Oreochromis niloticus: one gene and its partner. The protein of the gene in region 1 purifies or fractionates together with the protein of each later gene. This does not show direct contact. Links are inferred from orthologs where the notes say so. Each region holds a gene or a part of one and is shown on either strand. Other genes may lie near its edges.

Evidence for each region.
Region 2: the proteins of ryk (region 1) and adgra3 purify together in Homo sapiens (affinity purification with mass spectrometry; 3 studies listed by BioGRID and IntAct, with this or other methods). This does not show direct contact. The link is inferred for Oreochromis niloticus from reciprocal best matches to the Homo sapiens genes RYK and ADGRA3.

What each region holds. Positions count from the first base shown.
Region 1 is NC_031986.2:32,534,998-32,541,914, forward strand, and holds the start of ryk (tyrosine-protein kinase RYK), read left to right. Parts: upstream 1-3,908; 5' UTR 3,909-4,390; coding exon 4,391-4,598; intron 4,599-6,917. Other genes in the region: sned1 (sushi, nidogen and EGF-like domain-containing protein 1), read left to right, coding at 1-41, 130-155. UniProt on the Homo sapiens protein: May be a coreceptor along with FZD8 of Wnt proteins, such as WNT1, WNT3, WNT3A and WNT5A. Involved in neuron differentiation, axon guidance, corpus callosum establishment and neurite outgrowth.
Region 2 is NC_031967.2:12,246,573-12,254,587, forward strand, and holds the start of adgra3 (adhesion G protein-coupled receptor A3), read left to right. Parts: upstream 1-4,998; 5' UTR 4,999-5,825; coding exon 5,826-6,040; intron 6,041-8,015. Other genes in the region: gba3 (cytosolic beta-glucosidase), read right to left, coding at 341-464, 1,154-1,956, 2,065-2,289, 3,472-3,526. UniProt on the Homo sapiens protein: Orphan receptor that may have a role in planar cell polarity pathway.

The DNA of each region.
Region 1 (6,917 bases):
TCGAGAGATTTGTGAACCGACGCCTTCCAAGAAGAGTCAGAGTGAGTTAAACAATCTGTCTGCGCAATATTTTTAAGACGATAAACCAATGCAATGCTGTTCATATACCAACTTTAACTGTCTTAACAGCCAGAAGAACAAACACACAACAATAAAGGTTTGTGATTTTTTTTCAGCCCTTCTTATGAACTGCTATTGTAGAGGATCACAAGATTTTCAGCACTTACCCTCAAAATGAGACTTTTCTTTTTTCTCTCTCTCTAGAGCACTTGGAGCCTGATGAAAGGACTGTCATCACTGTCATGTGAAAAACCTCCTTACTTCAATTTTGGTGTTTATAATCTACTTGAAGTAACTGATTATGGTCATTTTTTTGTGCTGAAAAACCCTGTCAGAGCCCACTGTAACATTTCACAAACAAACCATCAACCATCTGAATATGAGGCTGCATCCCGAGAGTTGCCTTTGTAGCTCGCGGAAGCACGATCAGTCAGATGAAAAACGTCCCGCATCATGTATCATTTGCAGTGTTTGCTGACTGAGTTTCATGCAACCACATATGGTATGCAAATATGAACCCTAAGCAGTCAACTGCACTGCATCAGAGACCTTATATACCTCATTTCAACGTCCAATGCTGACACATTTGGAGAGGTTTACGTTTGTGATTCAGCTGCAGGTTTGTCCCTCAGGGAAGTAAAAGCAGAGTCTTTTCCTTACATCAGTCCCATCATCTCCTTACGAAGACAGCAGGAAATGTGTACTTTCACCCTTAAACTGATCTCGTCCTCTGACAATGATGCACAGCGTTTTCTGTGTAGAATATCTTCCTCTGTGTCTCAGCAGGCGTCGCTGCTCGCTAATCTGTAAATAGTGTTTATAGGCCATTTTGTAGGTGAATATTTTAATAATAAAAATGTTAAAATGATTCCTGGTGTGTGTGTGTTGCAGTTCTTGCCATCATTTGTCACACTGTGTTGAATCTATCATGTTTTGACAGCATCGAAAACTATACTAAAAGTATTTTATTAACAGATTAAAGGAGAGCAGTTGTACTCATTTTTAGCTCCATTTCACTGTTTTTGGAATCTATTACAGTAGCTTAGCACAATTTAGCATTATTTCATGGCTCACAATAATCTTTATCTTAAACTGGGGCTTGGTGCAGTGCCTCAGTTCGCCCTCTGTCTGAAACAAGCTGGTTTGGATCATGTCTTTTAATTTGTTGCCCCTCATAAATGGTTTGAATAGCAGGTAGGTGGAGTTGTGTGCCACAGATGACCATATTAGGGACATCCTGTTTCACTGATAGGCATCATGCAAAGCCAGAGTAGGAAAGAAATGTCCATAGGCTATGTGCAAAAGATGGATGTGACCACCTTGGCATCTATATTTTGAAGACTCAGAGTTTTAGGCATGACTATATTTGTGTTTGTCTGTTTGTTTTGTGCTTTTTTAGAGCTATAAATTACCATATTTAGAGATTGCTAAGCTATCAGCTAACACTGACAACTTAGTTTATTAGTACTTTTGTGTGGTGCTAATAAAGTGGTATTTATAAATTGTACAGCGGCTCACAGAAATGGAGATGTTTTCTGATTAATGCCAAACCAACATCCAAATAAACATCGTGGAATTTCACTCGTTAAACACAGACTGCTTGGATGGTGTGCACTTTACAGCAAGCCAGATGACTGCATTAAAACCGCTACAAAATACACCAACAGCTCAAACACGGTTAAGTGCTACAGTTTAATGATACTGCTTGGTAAAGGTGAAGCCTAAGAGACAGACCAGTAATTATCCGCTTGTTATAAAGGAGGAAATGAACTACAGAGCTCAAAATCTTTACCAGGCTGTAAAAGTATTGTTTATATAGCTGAAATTGGCTATTTTAACATTAGAATCTGTGGAAACTGACTCACTTTTGGAGCCAGCCTTTAAGAATCTGAGCAACTGCAGTTTTTGGTTCACTGAGACTAACTCTGCAATCTGAAGCTTGAGTTTTTGGCTCCCAACGTCACTCCCTGGCTACTTTTAATATGAGCATCCACCTGTGTTACAGTATAAGTTTGACAGAAAATAAGGAAAAGTAGAATATTTTCATTTTAAGAAGAGAAAACACCCATAACTTTGTTTACTCTGTTAATGGAGACGTTTTTTGTTTTTTTTTTAAGTTTACTACTGAACGTCACTACTCTTCTCTTTGTTCCTGTGTGTGTCTGGATTATTGAGTTACTGAAGCATGCAAAAGTGGGCGGAGATGCAAAATTAAAGACTCCAAATCCAAACTTTAGCTTTAATCATTAAATTAGACCAATTTGGGACATACTTCATGAAAGAAAACAGAGCATGGGCATGCCTTGGGTTTTGTTAATCAATTACCCCAGTCAGAAAGGAGACTGCTCTATCAGAACCATCACCACATAACAAAAGCTTCCTCGCTGCTGTAATTTGTCTGCCTAACGCCCTGTAGTCATGAGTCTCTAGCTCTGCCAAAGTGACTCTTCTAAGCCTCAGGCTATATACAGACAGGGGTCAAATTAAAGGCAAATGTAAACTAAATAAAGAAGAAAAAAAAGAAAGATGATGAAGGGCCACTGATCGATGAGAAAATAATATGAATCATATTTACCAGAATTCAAATATGATTCGGAGGCAGATGAAATATTAATTTGCCATATTAGACCCACTTGTTTACTGCCTTAAAGAGAAGCCTCACACCAGAGCCACTGGGGTATTGTTTATATTGCAGTGGAACAGCAGATAAGGACACTGCAGTGAGTGTCACAACAACTGGATGTTCTCAAGTAAATGACATGCCCTCCATGCCAAAAGTCCAAAGCTGAACAGACAGTGAAGCAAGACATTTCAAAGAGAACTTCCACTGAAACTGAGAAGCTGTGCCATCCAGATCCTTTAAGGATTTTGAAAAACTTCTTGAGGACCTAAAGTTGTTTCATCAATATATCTTTGAACTGTTATACAGAACATGTAAACAACAAAGTGGTTTCTCCCTTTCACATCTGCTGGACTCAGAGACCAGTGTTGCTAATCCAGGAAACCTTGTTTCAGTGAAAATGAGCTATCTTTGTGTGGGGTTATATGACTGGAAAGAGGTGTTGTTGGTGCTCTGATAATGTTTTTAAATCATTGATCTCATGAGTTCAAATATGTAAATTTCTTTGTGAACTTAAACCTAAAAAGTGATGTTATTCTTTTATTAAACAATTATTTTTTTCAGTTTTTCTCCTAAATATATCTTTTTTTTTTTTATATTTTTGTTCATTTTTTCTTTTATTTTCCTTTTATCTCCTTGTAGATTTATTTTTAATTTTGCCGTTTTTTACTAAAAGAAAAGGTATTATTTTTTGTGAATTCTAAATTTGTCTTGTAAATATTTCCCTCACAATTTATTTAATTTTAAAAAATAAATATGTCTGGGGGTTTTTAATCACACGGTTTCAACTTTTTCCTCTTCAGTTTGCCTTTTCATAAATATTACATTTTGTCACATAAAATTTCCATTTATCTCATAAATTTAAATAATTTATATCAATCTGGAACTTTTTGCCATACATTTTTATCTTTTGTCATTATAGCTTTTTCTTATGCTTTTTTTCCTTTTGTTTTAAATTTGACTGCTTTTTTTCTTTTTTCATACACTTTACAATTATTTTCTTGTAAATTTACAACCTCAATCACCAACCCAACAAAAAAACATTTTTTTTAAACTGCCATCGAGATAAAGTCGATCTCTTTTCCACTTTATGCATTCTTTATATTGTTATTTGAGGCATGCCTATCTTTTAATGTAGAAATTATTATAATAATAAATAAATGACATTAACTTGATGTTTCTTTATTGTCCTCTGGCTGTGATATTTCCGACAGCACGTGAAGGCAGCAGAAGCCAGAGCGCTGCGCGCCCCCGTTGCCCCCCTTCCTGCCCGGAGTGAAAACTGAGAGGAAAAAGCGTCGGGAGCAGAGACCATGGAGGGGGAAAGCTGGATGTATTAGCTAGTTTGTTGCTTAGGGCACTTTTCACTCTTCTTTCGCTTCTACCCACAGAAATCAAAGCGTCTCAATGTGGCGATATCCGGTGTGTATTTTACGTGGCTCGTAAATCTCCTGAACAGTCAAACAATCAACTGCGAGTCGGACCGCGGACGGTTAGCACAGCCCGACTGAAAGTTAGCCCGCTCCGGCTAACTTAGCCCACTCCAGCTACCACGAAGGGACAAAAAACTAAAAACACGATAGTGAGTAAGAGTGTCGGGGCTTGAAGTAACTCGTAATGTTGCCTCCCGGGATTAATTTCAGATACGGATGAGAAAGAAATTCTCTGGGAACAGCGAGAACAACAGCGAGCCAGACAACCACCGTCGTTATGCTGGGGTTGATCCGCGGCTCCGGCAGCCCGTCCGAGTCCCGAGTGTGGCCGCACTCGGTGCTCTGGAGGCTGGGGGGCTTCTTCTTCCTGCTGCTGCTGGAAGGGGCCGGCTGCCTGGCCAGCCCGGGCAGCCCCGTAGGCGTCAACAACAACAACCCCGGAGTCAACATCTACATGAGTGTGGAGGAGGTGAAGAAGCTCCTGGGTAAGAAGGCCTGCATAGTAATCCAGCTGTGTTCAAACTTTGCAATCAGTCCACTTGTGTATGTGTTTGTGTGCCCCTCACATCTGTAAATTTAGCTTTAAAACTTGGACAAACTCCACCGAACTGTTACAGCTAATTGTGCAGGTACATTATATTAATCATTTACAGCTGTGATTCTTTTATATTATTTTTTTCTAGGGTTTCCTCTGTATTTGTAAAAGTAAAAAAAACTCACTTTTTTTCTGGCAAATTTGTGAGTTTTCTCTTCTAATTGTGTTAGTTTTTCATAAAATAATATTTTTTCTTGTAAAATTGCCCCCTTTCCCGTATATTTCACCGTTTTTGTCTTTTGAAATTTCCTTTTTAATCCTAAATTTGCCAGTTTTTGTCTAATTGATTCGTCAATTAGTTTGTGGGGGTAAATGTTTCTGTTTTACTCGTAAATGTTTCAGTTTTTCTCGTGAATTTGCATTTTTTTGGGGGGGTTCCCCCTAAAAATTTGCTCGTGAATCAGACGTTTTCTTTTACTTTTCTCCTTTTTTGTGTCGTATTGTTGCACATTTATTGTCTAATTAATTTATCCGTTTTACTAGGAAATGTAGGACTTTAAAAAATATTTTAAGTTTATCATTTATATTCTTGTAAATTGTCAAGTTTTGTCTTAATTTAAGACTTTTTTTTTTAAAAGATTTTTTTTCTAATTGCCAATTTGTCCTTGAATTTTTTTTTCCGTTCTATTTGGTAAATTTGCAAGTTATTTCTTGAATAATTATTTATATTTTTCCTCATGAATTTATTAGTTAAGTACCAGTGTCACTGATGAGGCGTCATTACTGTACATGTGCAGGTCAAAGTAACCTTTACATGTTTCTGATATGTTGTGATATAATTGGTCATCATTTTTTTTATGTTGGGGTTGGTCAGTGTATAAGGTTGTGTCTCGTGATTGTTATGATGTTGCTGATTAGGATTAATTGTAGAGTGGCATTAGAACATCAGCAGAATAATCTAAAGTGCTTGTTGTTATCTCATGACAGTGCCGCTGTTGGTGCAAGCCATCAGTGTTATGTTGGTCTAACACTGTCTAAATGTTTAAAATCATAGTGCCAAGGTGAAGCCAGCCTGTGAATCGGTCCTAAGTTGTTAATGGAGGGTTTGCTTTAGAAGTGTTGAACGTGCACTTTGAAACCAGTCATTTACCATGTGCACATCTAATGAAGGGGTAGAAGTGTTTGTATGTAATGTCCCTGTGGAGGGAGGAATCTCGTGTTGCAGCTCCTGCTAACTGACGTCTTCCTTTCGATAAACGAGTCATCTTAGAGTCGCATTAGCAGAATTACATTGTTTCTGTTGGGGAATCTTTTGGGAAGTACCTCCAGTTGCATCCAGCTTTTTTAACTGGACCGTGTGCTGGTAAACCTCCCTGTGTATGGGCCTAATTTATAGTAGGGACTTTTGGGATGTGGTGTTAAATCATTTGTTTGAGAATGACCGGCACTGTTGTTTGATTAGTTATTGAACAAGTGGTTATTTTTTTGAGGTTACATGTATTTATCACCAGGGATTAGCAGATTAAAGTCTAAAAAAAATGACAATACCTTTAAGATATTTAAGGAAGCCATGCAAAATTTGACTTTCATACTATGAATATTTTGCCAGCTACAGGCCCTCAAAGAATTTAGGGTTTGATGGGGAAAAATACCCGTTTAGTTTTCTTTTTCCATAGTTTTTGAGCCCTTAAGTCTTCGTAAGTACAGGAGATAGTCTCATGAAGTCTTCAGGGCTGTTCTTCTGCATCACTATGTGAATGTCTCCTGTACTTTTGAATCTACGGGAGCTCCGAAAGGCTGAAGTAGTAATGTAAATTTAAAATTTTTTTTAATTTTGACCTTGATGTACTTGGAGGCTTTCTAACACATGAATTCAAATATTCATAATATCATGGTAAATGTTTCTGTGTGTAAATTTAATATCCTAAACTTAATGTCCAAAAAATATTTGCTGATTTTGAGGGGTCAGGTAGGGACTTTTTCCAGATTTAATTTTATATGGAGTGACTGTGCCGTGTATAATTGCAGGAAATGTAACGAGAATTTCCTAAATTTTCAAAGAAAGGACTGTAGTCTCCCTGCCAAAATTATGCCCCCACCATTTCCCAAATTAAACCCGTGTGTCCTCATGCCACATACATTCAGTATTTCATTGCCTGCAGCCTTGACGAGTTAACTGCCCCTGCACCAAAGTACCACCCTTTGTGCTTTCTCTCTCCTCTCTGACTGGTGTTGGATCGTTGGCTGACTCTGTCCCTTTGGGTTCCCC
Region 2 (8,015 bases), on another chromosome or scaffold:
TTACTAGGTCCACTGCACTTGTTAGCGGGCTTATGTATTAAAACACGGACATGTATGTTCATTTATGTTATTCTTTTTATCTTCATCATAAAAAGTATAAATAAAAACCTTTTGATACGACACAAACAGTCTTGGGAAACCAAATTTATGATAAATGATAGCAAGAAGATTAAAGGTACATCAGACCAAATAAATGTTTTTGTTTTAAACAAGACTAAATTTGTCAATTTGGAGAAGCTGCAGAATTAAAATGATATTTTAACCATTATTTTCCAGATTCGCATGCTTTTCATTTTTTAAATACGCAGGATTTACGCAGTCCCGATTTACTAGCCATTACCTTTTGCCACTTCTGAGATGGTGTCCTTGTAATACACACAGCGCTGGGCATCCTCGATCTGCAGTGGCCCCACCTGAGAGAAACCATTCTCTGTAATGTAGATCGCTGGGTTGTTGAAAGTGTCCTGCAAAGTCAGAGGGCAAATATTATTGTCAAACAAGGCATCACAGCCTGTCAGGCATTCCAGGGAGAGACAGATTGGTCTACAGTGTGCCGTTCAGCTGCGTTTCAACGGTGCCAGGCTCAGACTAATGGCGTGTGACAAGTCACAACAGCAGGAAATTGCTCGTTTGCAAACACTTTTCAGCAAAGTAACTGTTTCATTCAATGTGACAGCACTAATGAAGCATCAGTGTGTTTCTGGAGGTGTCGAAAAGAGATTGCTGCATGCAAAATCAATAGTGAGACACTAAACAAATGCCAGTGTTCTCCTCGTACGGTTGAAGGTGATCTATCTTGTTGCTGGTCAATTCATTTTGAGCACCGACTTTACTTTTCCGCAAGGTGAATCCAAACTGTAATGAAAGAATTTGGTCGGCCCTTGGTTTGGGTTATTTTTAGTGTTATATATTAGTGTAAAATTGTTCATTTTTACATTTTTGGACTCTATTGCAGTAGCTGTGCATGGCTCACAGTTTAAAATAATCCTTATTTATGTTATGCTGGGACTGGTGAATTATCTTAGTCAATCATTTATCTGAAACAAGCAGTTTATACTCCCTCCCCCCACTTTTTAAGGAAACTTTCTTCTGATTGGCTGCCCCACACAGACTAACCAAAAGAAAAAAAAAGATTTTTAAGAAAAAGTTTTACCTTAATGTACTTTAGGAGTTTCCTCAAGCCATCCGGCACTACAGCCAGCCAGGACAGTCCACTGATGGGCCAGGATGAATCCAAAACTTCCTCTGTATCTTTGTCACCCTTCATACACAACATCTTTTCACAACCTCCTCCTGGTTTGACTTTGCGAGACGTGTAGTAGTTCAACGCAAAGAAGTCGGCAGTTCCCAGAATGGCAGATTCATCCTTGGAGAAACTGGGGAGCCTTGAGGCTGCATTGTATCCTAGCTTCTTACTTTGAGCGTCTATAGCAGATCTCATTATTTCTGGATAATCACCGGTAACAAACACAGGCCAGGCGAACCATCCCAGTGTAAATGCAAGGTCACGTTCAGTAGCAGCAAAGTCCTCGGGGCAACCTTGGTTTAATGGCTCATACCAGTCGCTGTTGAGGGCAATAGACACGGCACCTTTCTGCTCTGACCTGTAGCGAGAATTGTAGCTGTGCCAGGCCATGGCGTGGGCCCGCAGCATGTTGTGTCCTACCAGGTAGGCAGCGGTGCCTTTCTCTTTTAACCCTGGGGCATGGATGCCGTCTTCGTGTCCCAGTTTGGCGCACACTTGTGGCTCATTGATAGTGATCCAAAGTTTGACACGGTCCCCAAATGTTTGGAAACAAAACTGAGCATAGTTGTCAAAGAGGCTGGCTATACCAGGTGATTTCCAGCCTCCCTGGTCTTGCAGAGCTTGAGGCAGGTCAAAGTGGTAAAGGGTAACCATCGGTGAGACATTTGAGGTTAGCAAATCATCAATCACTTTGTTGTAGTATTGCACACCTGTTGAACAGAGAGTGCCATAAATGGGTAATGAGATACAATTGCCTAAAGCCATCAAATAGGCCTGGATCTAATTCCAGCATGTGTGTTTCAGGTCTATGAAAATACCTTTCTGATTGACATGTTGCGTGGTCCCATCAGGCAGGAGGCGGGCCCAGGAGAAAGACAGGCGATAGTGTGTCAGTCCAAGCTGCTGGATACACTCCAGGTCTTTCTCCCACAGCTCATAGCTGTTACAGGCCACATCTCCATTCTGGTCCCCAAACACTCTGCCTTTCTCATGACAAAATGTGTCCCAGATACTCGGTCCCTTGCCGTCCGATTGCCAGCCACCTGAGCGAGCACGTAAAGGTTGTTCAGAAAAACAGGTAAAGTGCTGATATATAGAAATATCACTCTGATGTTCCTTCTGAGGCTTTTAGAGTGTCCGTGGATTTATTGTGACAGCATCTAAGACGTCATCGACTCTAGCATTTATTTACTTTCATCTAATTACATAAGTGTGTTAAAGACTGTATTAGTCTGCCAATATTTTTTTTATGTGTGCCAAATGAGTGACAAATGTAAGGAACAACTCAAAAAATGTGGGGAGAAATACAAGTAAAGGGCAGAAACAGTGATCAGAGGAACACATTCAACTTAGTTTTATACCACCAAATCACAACAACAGTCGCGTGTAGGTGCTTTATATTGGAAGGTAAAGGTCCTACAATAATAAAAAGAAATGTCCAAGAATCAGACAACCATCACAATCAGACATGGTAAAAGTAGGAAGGAAAAACTGCCTTTTAACAGGAAGAAACCTCCGGCAGAACCAGGCTCAGGGATGGGCAGCTATCTCCTGCAACCAGTTAGGGGTTAGGGGAAGGAAACAAACGGCTGTGTTTTTTGTTGCATTAGTGTATTGAAAACCAGAAAAAGAGCCATTCTTCCTCAGGTGACTGACAATGACAATATGGGATATGATCAGACTGTGTCACAGAACACAAAAAGTAATATGGTGGAGAGAGATGAACCAGCCTTAACCATATTCTTCAGTGCACATAGGCATGAAAGCGTCATGGGGGGTTCCATGATGACAGTGCATAGATGCATGAGCCATACAGGTCACCGAATGGTTTGGTGAATAAGAAAATTATATGAATCACAGACTTAAGGCCCGTTTAGTCACCAGATCTCATGAAGCTAAACATCAGTGGGAGATTTTAGACCAACATTAGAAAATGCCCTGTTACACCAATGTCAAAACAACAAATGAGGAAATGATGAATAAATTTTCACCTATCTGTATCTCCAATATAATCAGTGCAATGGTTACTATTTATTTACACATGCTTAAGTTTCACCAAACACTCATTTAAAGCATGTTACAGCGTCAATAGCGCCAATATTTACCAAGTGAAGTAGTCACGGTAAAGCGAATTACATTAGAGGTTCTCGGAATGTAAAGGCCCTCTCTCTCTCCCACTCCATGACAGTTATCACTGCTCCATTCAGAAACTTGTGTTTACATACCTTCTATTTGATACGCAGACGTTGCCGCTCCCCATGCAAAGTCACGTGGGAACATGTTTTTGTGCCTTAGGACGCTGAAACAAAGGTGTTCCTATATCTTAGCGCGTCATGCTTTTATCTATCTGAAATGTAATACACAAAGCTATTTGTCTCCCTACAAAGCGGACGTTTTTTTGTTTTGTTTTGTTTTTGCTCCATGTGGCATTGCAGCCATTAACGTCCACAGACCAGGAACTACTGCGAGATGTGACGTTTCGTAAATCACGTATAGAAGATTTCATCCAGTACGAGAAACTCCGAAGATAATTATCTCGCTGGATTTTGCTTTTTTCCACAATGCCACTACTGTAATACTAGCTTAATGCTGTTATTAAATAATAATAAATCAAAAACACATTAGTTCACGGGATTCGGTCTTTTCATGTTCAAAATTTAGGGCAGGAATGTGGGATTAAGAAATGATCCGAGGTGCACCTGAAAGCACCGCAAGAATGAGTCGAGGGTTGCGATGAAATCAAAGGCTGTTGCCAGCTTGGTAAATTAGTAAAAGTCTATTTTGCAGTCAAGCAGAGCAACTCTGTGAGTTTCTGCGTGTGTGTTTGTGGTATTAATTTAAAAAAATGTAACAAATAACGTAAATTCAAATAGTAAAGACCCAAATATTACGACGTAATTAACAACTTGGACGAAGTATTTGTTTCGATAGCATAAGAAATGTAGAATGAACTATAGTTATAACATATATGATATTTATTCCATAAAAAGCCCCACTTATATTAGCTTTATTATGTTCCAACAAACGTGTAGCCTACATTTCACCACCCGGATTTTTAAAATAACAACAATGTAGTTTTGCATACTCTTTAGGCCCTTTTATCTGCACCTCCGTATCATATACAGTCTATCGTTAAGCCTCGCACGGGTTCTAATAATAAGCAAAGGACTTGTGCCCACTTTACTGCTGTAGTACAGTTTTCTATATGATGAAGTGAATCATTTGATCTCATCAAAATGAACACAATAGACTGCGACAAGAGGGCAAACAAATACTATCAGATTATCAAGAGTATTACATTCTCAACTCGGTGGAGTGGAAAGATTCAAACGTCTGAATCAGGGCAAAAACAAATCCTTATCATGGCTTTCATGTGAACTGCAAACTGGACCAAACGACCAGAGGTGGAAGTACAGATCGTGTATTACAATAAAAGTAGCAAGAAAAACATAAACACTCACTTTAGTCCTGCAACAGCAGTATTTTTTTATGTTCACCATATTTTTTATGGTGGGAATATGCCCCCTTATCGCATTTTTATATCGCAGGTTTATATTTTAAATGCTATATTACTTATGCTGATAGTTTTACATGTAACTGCGGACTGTTTGGTGATGTGCAACAGGTACATATCCAAAAAAGACACTTTTAACAGTTCCTTTGCGTTCAACCAATAAACCACATAGACGCAATCATACCCCAAACTCAAAGGAAGTCATCTGCTGGTGCTTTTATTATGAAATGCGGACCGGATGTGGTTTAGAATCCGCTCGGCCTTGACCGCCCCTGACTTCAGTGGCTCCCGGGGCAGGACCATGGGACTAGTAGGACTTCTCAATGGAAAGAAGACTAGTTTTAAATATTTTCTAAAGACACCGGTTAACAAAACGGACACGCCGACTACTCTGGATACGTTATTATACAATTTTTAGTGTATTTTTCCCTCATTGGTAGCACAATTTAAGCTAAAACCGTTGTTGTTTTTGCGCTCTGTTTTTTTTCCTCAAAGTAATTTCCTGTTCATGACCGGGGGCGAGAATTTGCACGCTTGTTTGTCGTCCCGTACGTGTTTCGAAGTAATGGGAAATTTAAAGTGAGCGTTTAAAAAGCCCGACCGCGTTTCCTGAAGTTGGGAGCGGATAACCTGGGATGACTGCAGCCGCCTCCTTTGGATAAGACAACACACTGACTTGGACCCACGCTATGGGCAACAAAGGGAACCTCTCAACAACTGGGCTAGTTATTTAGCTACCAGGGAGGATACTCGGCATTTGAAATGTGGTAAATTTGCAGAGCTGGGAGGAAATGGAAGCCGGTGCCAGCATGGAAAGGGAATTCTAAATGAGTCGTTTTCCAAACAAAGAAGGACACCTCCGTCGGACTGAACACCGCCGAGCAAAGGGAAAGCCTTGCGAGAAATGGAGGAGGAAGGCTCGCTTGAGCCAAACAACATACTTGCAAAGGTCTCATTCTTCTTTGCCCGGTTCTAGCAACATCTACCCGCCCGCCGTTTCTGTTATCAAAACATTGTTTCCTTCGCCGGTGCTGCAGTGCTTTTCTGGTCGCGTGTGAATTAAAAATGAGGGTGGATCGTTTGCAGTTGTTTGGGATTTTGCTGCTGCTGAGCGGCTGCTGTGGCTCGGCGGCATCATCCGCGTGCAAATCGTTTGATGAAAACTCGAAAAGCGGTGGGAAAATCGTGCCGTCCTACAAGAAAGTGGTCTGCAGCAACATGGAGCTCCATCAGGTGTTGCCCCCGGACTCTCTCTCTTTCCCGAACAGAACAGTGACACTGTGAGTACATACATACAGATGCATGCTGTGAAAACACATCCCATCAGCCACTAGATTCACTTTATTCTCAATAAGGACTGTTTCTTTCCTGAAAGTTAATGTTACTGGAACTGTTTGCGACGTCTTAATAACCACCTTATCCCCCTTATTCATACTGCACAAACATGAAAAGATAAATATAGCTTGATAAGCTGACCACAAACTATCATTTCACAGCTATATACTGTAAATAGCAGTGTAAATACTAACCTTGTGTAACAGTAACCCCTTCCTGTTATGCAGTGATTTATGCAGAGGCTGCTAAATTACACACATGCCAGCATAAATGTAAGAGCTCATAGGTTATGGATGTGATTCTTTTTCCACCTGGTTTTACTCTGGCGTGGTTAGATCCTGACAGCACACCTGGCTAACACTAGCCAGGTGCCCTTTTTTTTTTTTTCTTCAAGAATTACACTTTTAAAGTTTAGTTTTAGGTTGTTGCCAGGTTGGTAGGTAGCCACTACAGTAATATGGCCTTACATCAGAAGCAGGCTTTGAGGCTGTGCAACCACTGCTTCTCCATCAGTGTCATTGATTAAAGTTGCTGGTCATTGTGTGGCAGTCAGCAGGGATGAAACGCACACCGAGACACAAGCTGCTGATTGATTGAGGCCTTTGTGTTGTGTCAAGTCAGAGCAGATTTAACCAATTGACACTCTGGTTTTGGTCTATCACTGAGCATTTGACAGGGAAAAATAAATAAAAAGGAATTTGAATAATCTTGACAGTAAGTTGAAGCTGTGTGCACCCCAGAGCTCTTGTACTTTGCGGTGGTGGTGTGCAATGGGGGAAATATGAGAATACCAGGGCAGGGTGCAGGGGTGGAAAGCAAATAATGGACTCCCAGGAGGGAAAGAAAGGCAGAGGATTGGCTGGTAATAAAGAGTTGTAAGACGATTGCAGTGCATGTTTTTAAGAGCTTTACCATAAGTCACTTGTTAGATTTGAGGCAACTTCCAAAGGTGCATGTTTAAAAAAAAAAAAATGTTAATTTGTATTTTTTTCAGGACACGACTCGACTGCATTTGCAGATATTTGAAACTTTCTTGTGTGGGATGAGACTTGAAAATCAGCCCATGAGCACAGTTTCTGCACAGATGTTGTTAAGTTTGGAGTTGGGGTTTATGTCCAGAGTAATTTTATCAAGTAACTGGAGCCCAAAAAACATCCAAATTAGGCCTGTATAGTGTATCCTGGGTGGAGCTCCACAACTGGCAGTCATTCAACCAAGTGTTATTACCGAAAGCACTGGTCCAAAAACACAGACTGCACGCTTCTCCTTATGATTAAATGTCCCATTAAACAAAGCATTTATATTGTGTGTCAGTTGTTTTCTTTACTGTACGGCACCAAGAAGCCATGAGGAGTGCATTGTGAGTCCTTCCAAAATTACTCCAGCACATGCCTGCTGTGATGTTACTGGTGGGTAGAATCAAACCTCATATTCAAGCTTCTCGCTAACACAGGAATAGATCATATGGGTGAGTTTACTGTGTGCGAATTATTAGTATTAGGGCAGATTAACCATTACCTGCACAGACTATGGGATGTCTCATTGCAGTTTAGCTTAAAAAAACAAGCTCTTACTTATTTCAAAGGATGGTAAGCAGAATGGACAAGTAGACAATATCCCTAGTAAACTGGAATAAAACACTTGTATGGCTCTTGAATTAAAAAGAAAAAGAAAAATTCCACTCCTTTTATTTTTATTTTCAGGAAGGATTTATGGAATTAGTGCTAGGTATGGTGTGTTCTGAAGTAATGTAGTGGGCCCTCCCTTCTGTTTGCTTTGTCTTTATGTGTACAGTGAGCTTGTAGTCTCTCATCACACTCTGACAATGATGGATTGGAGGTTGAGCCCGGTTGCTCATGATTTAGCGCTGAGCTCCAGAGAACAAGAGCAATGTAATTTGAGAGCTCCGACCAAAAAATG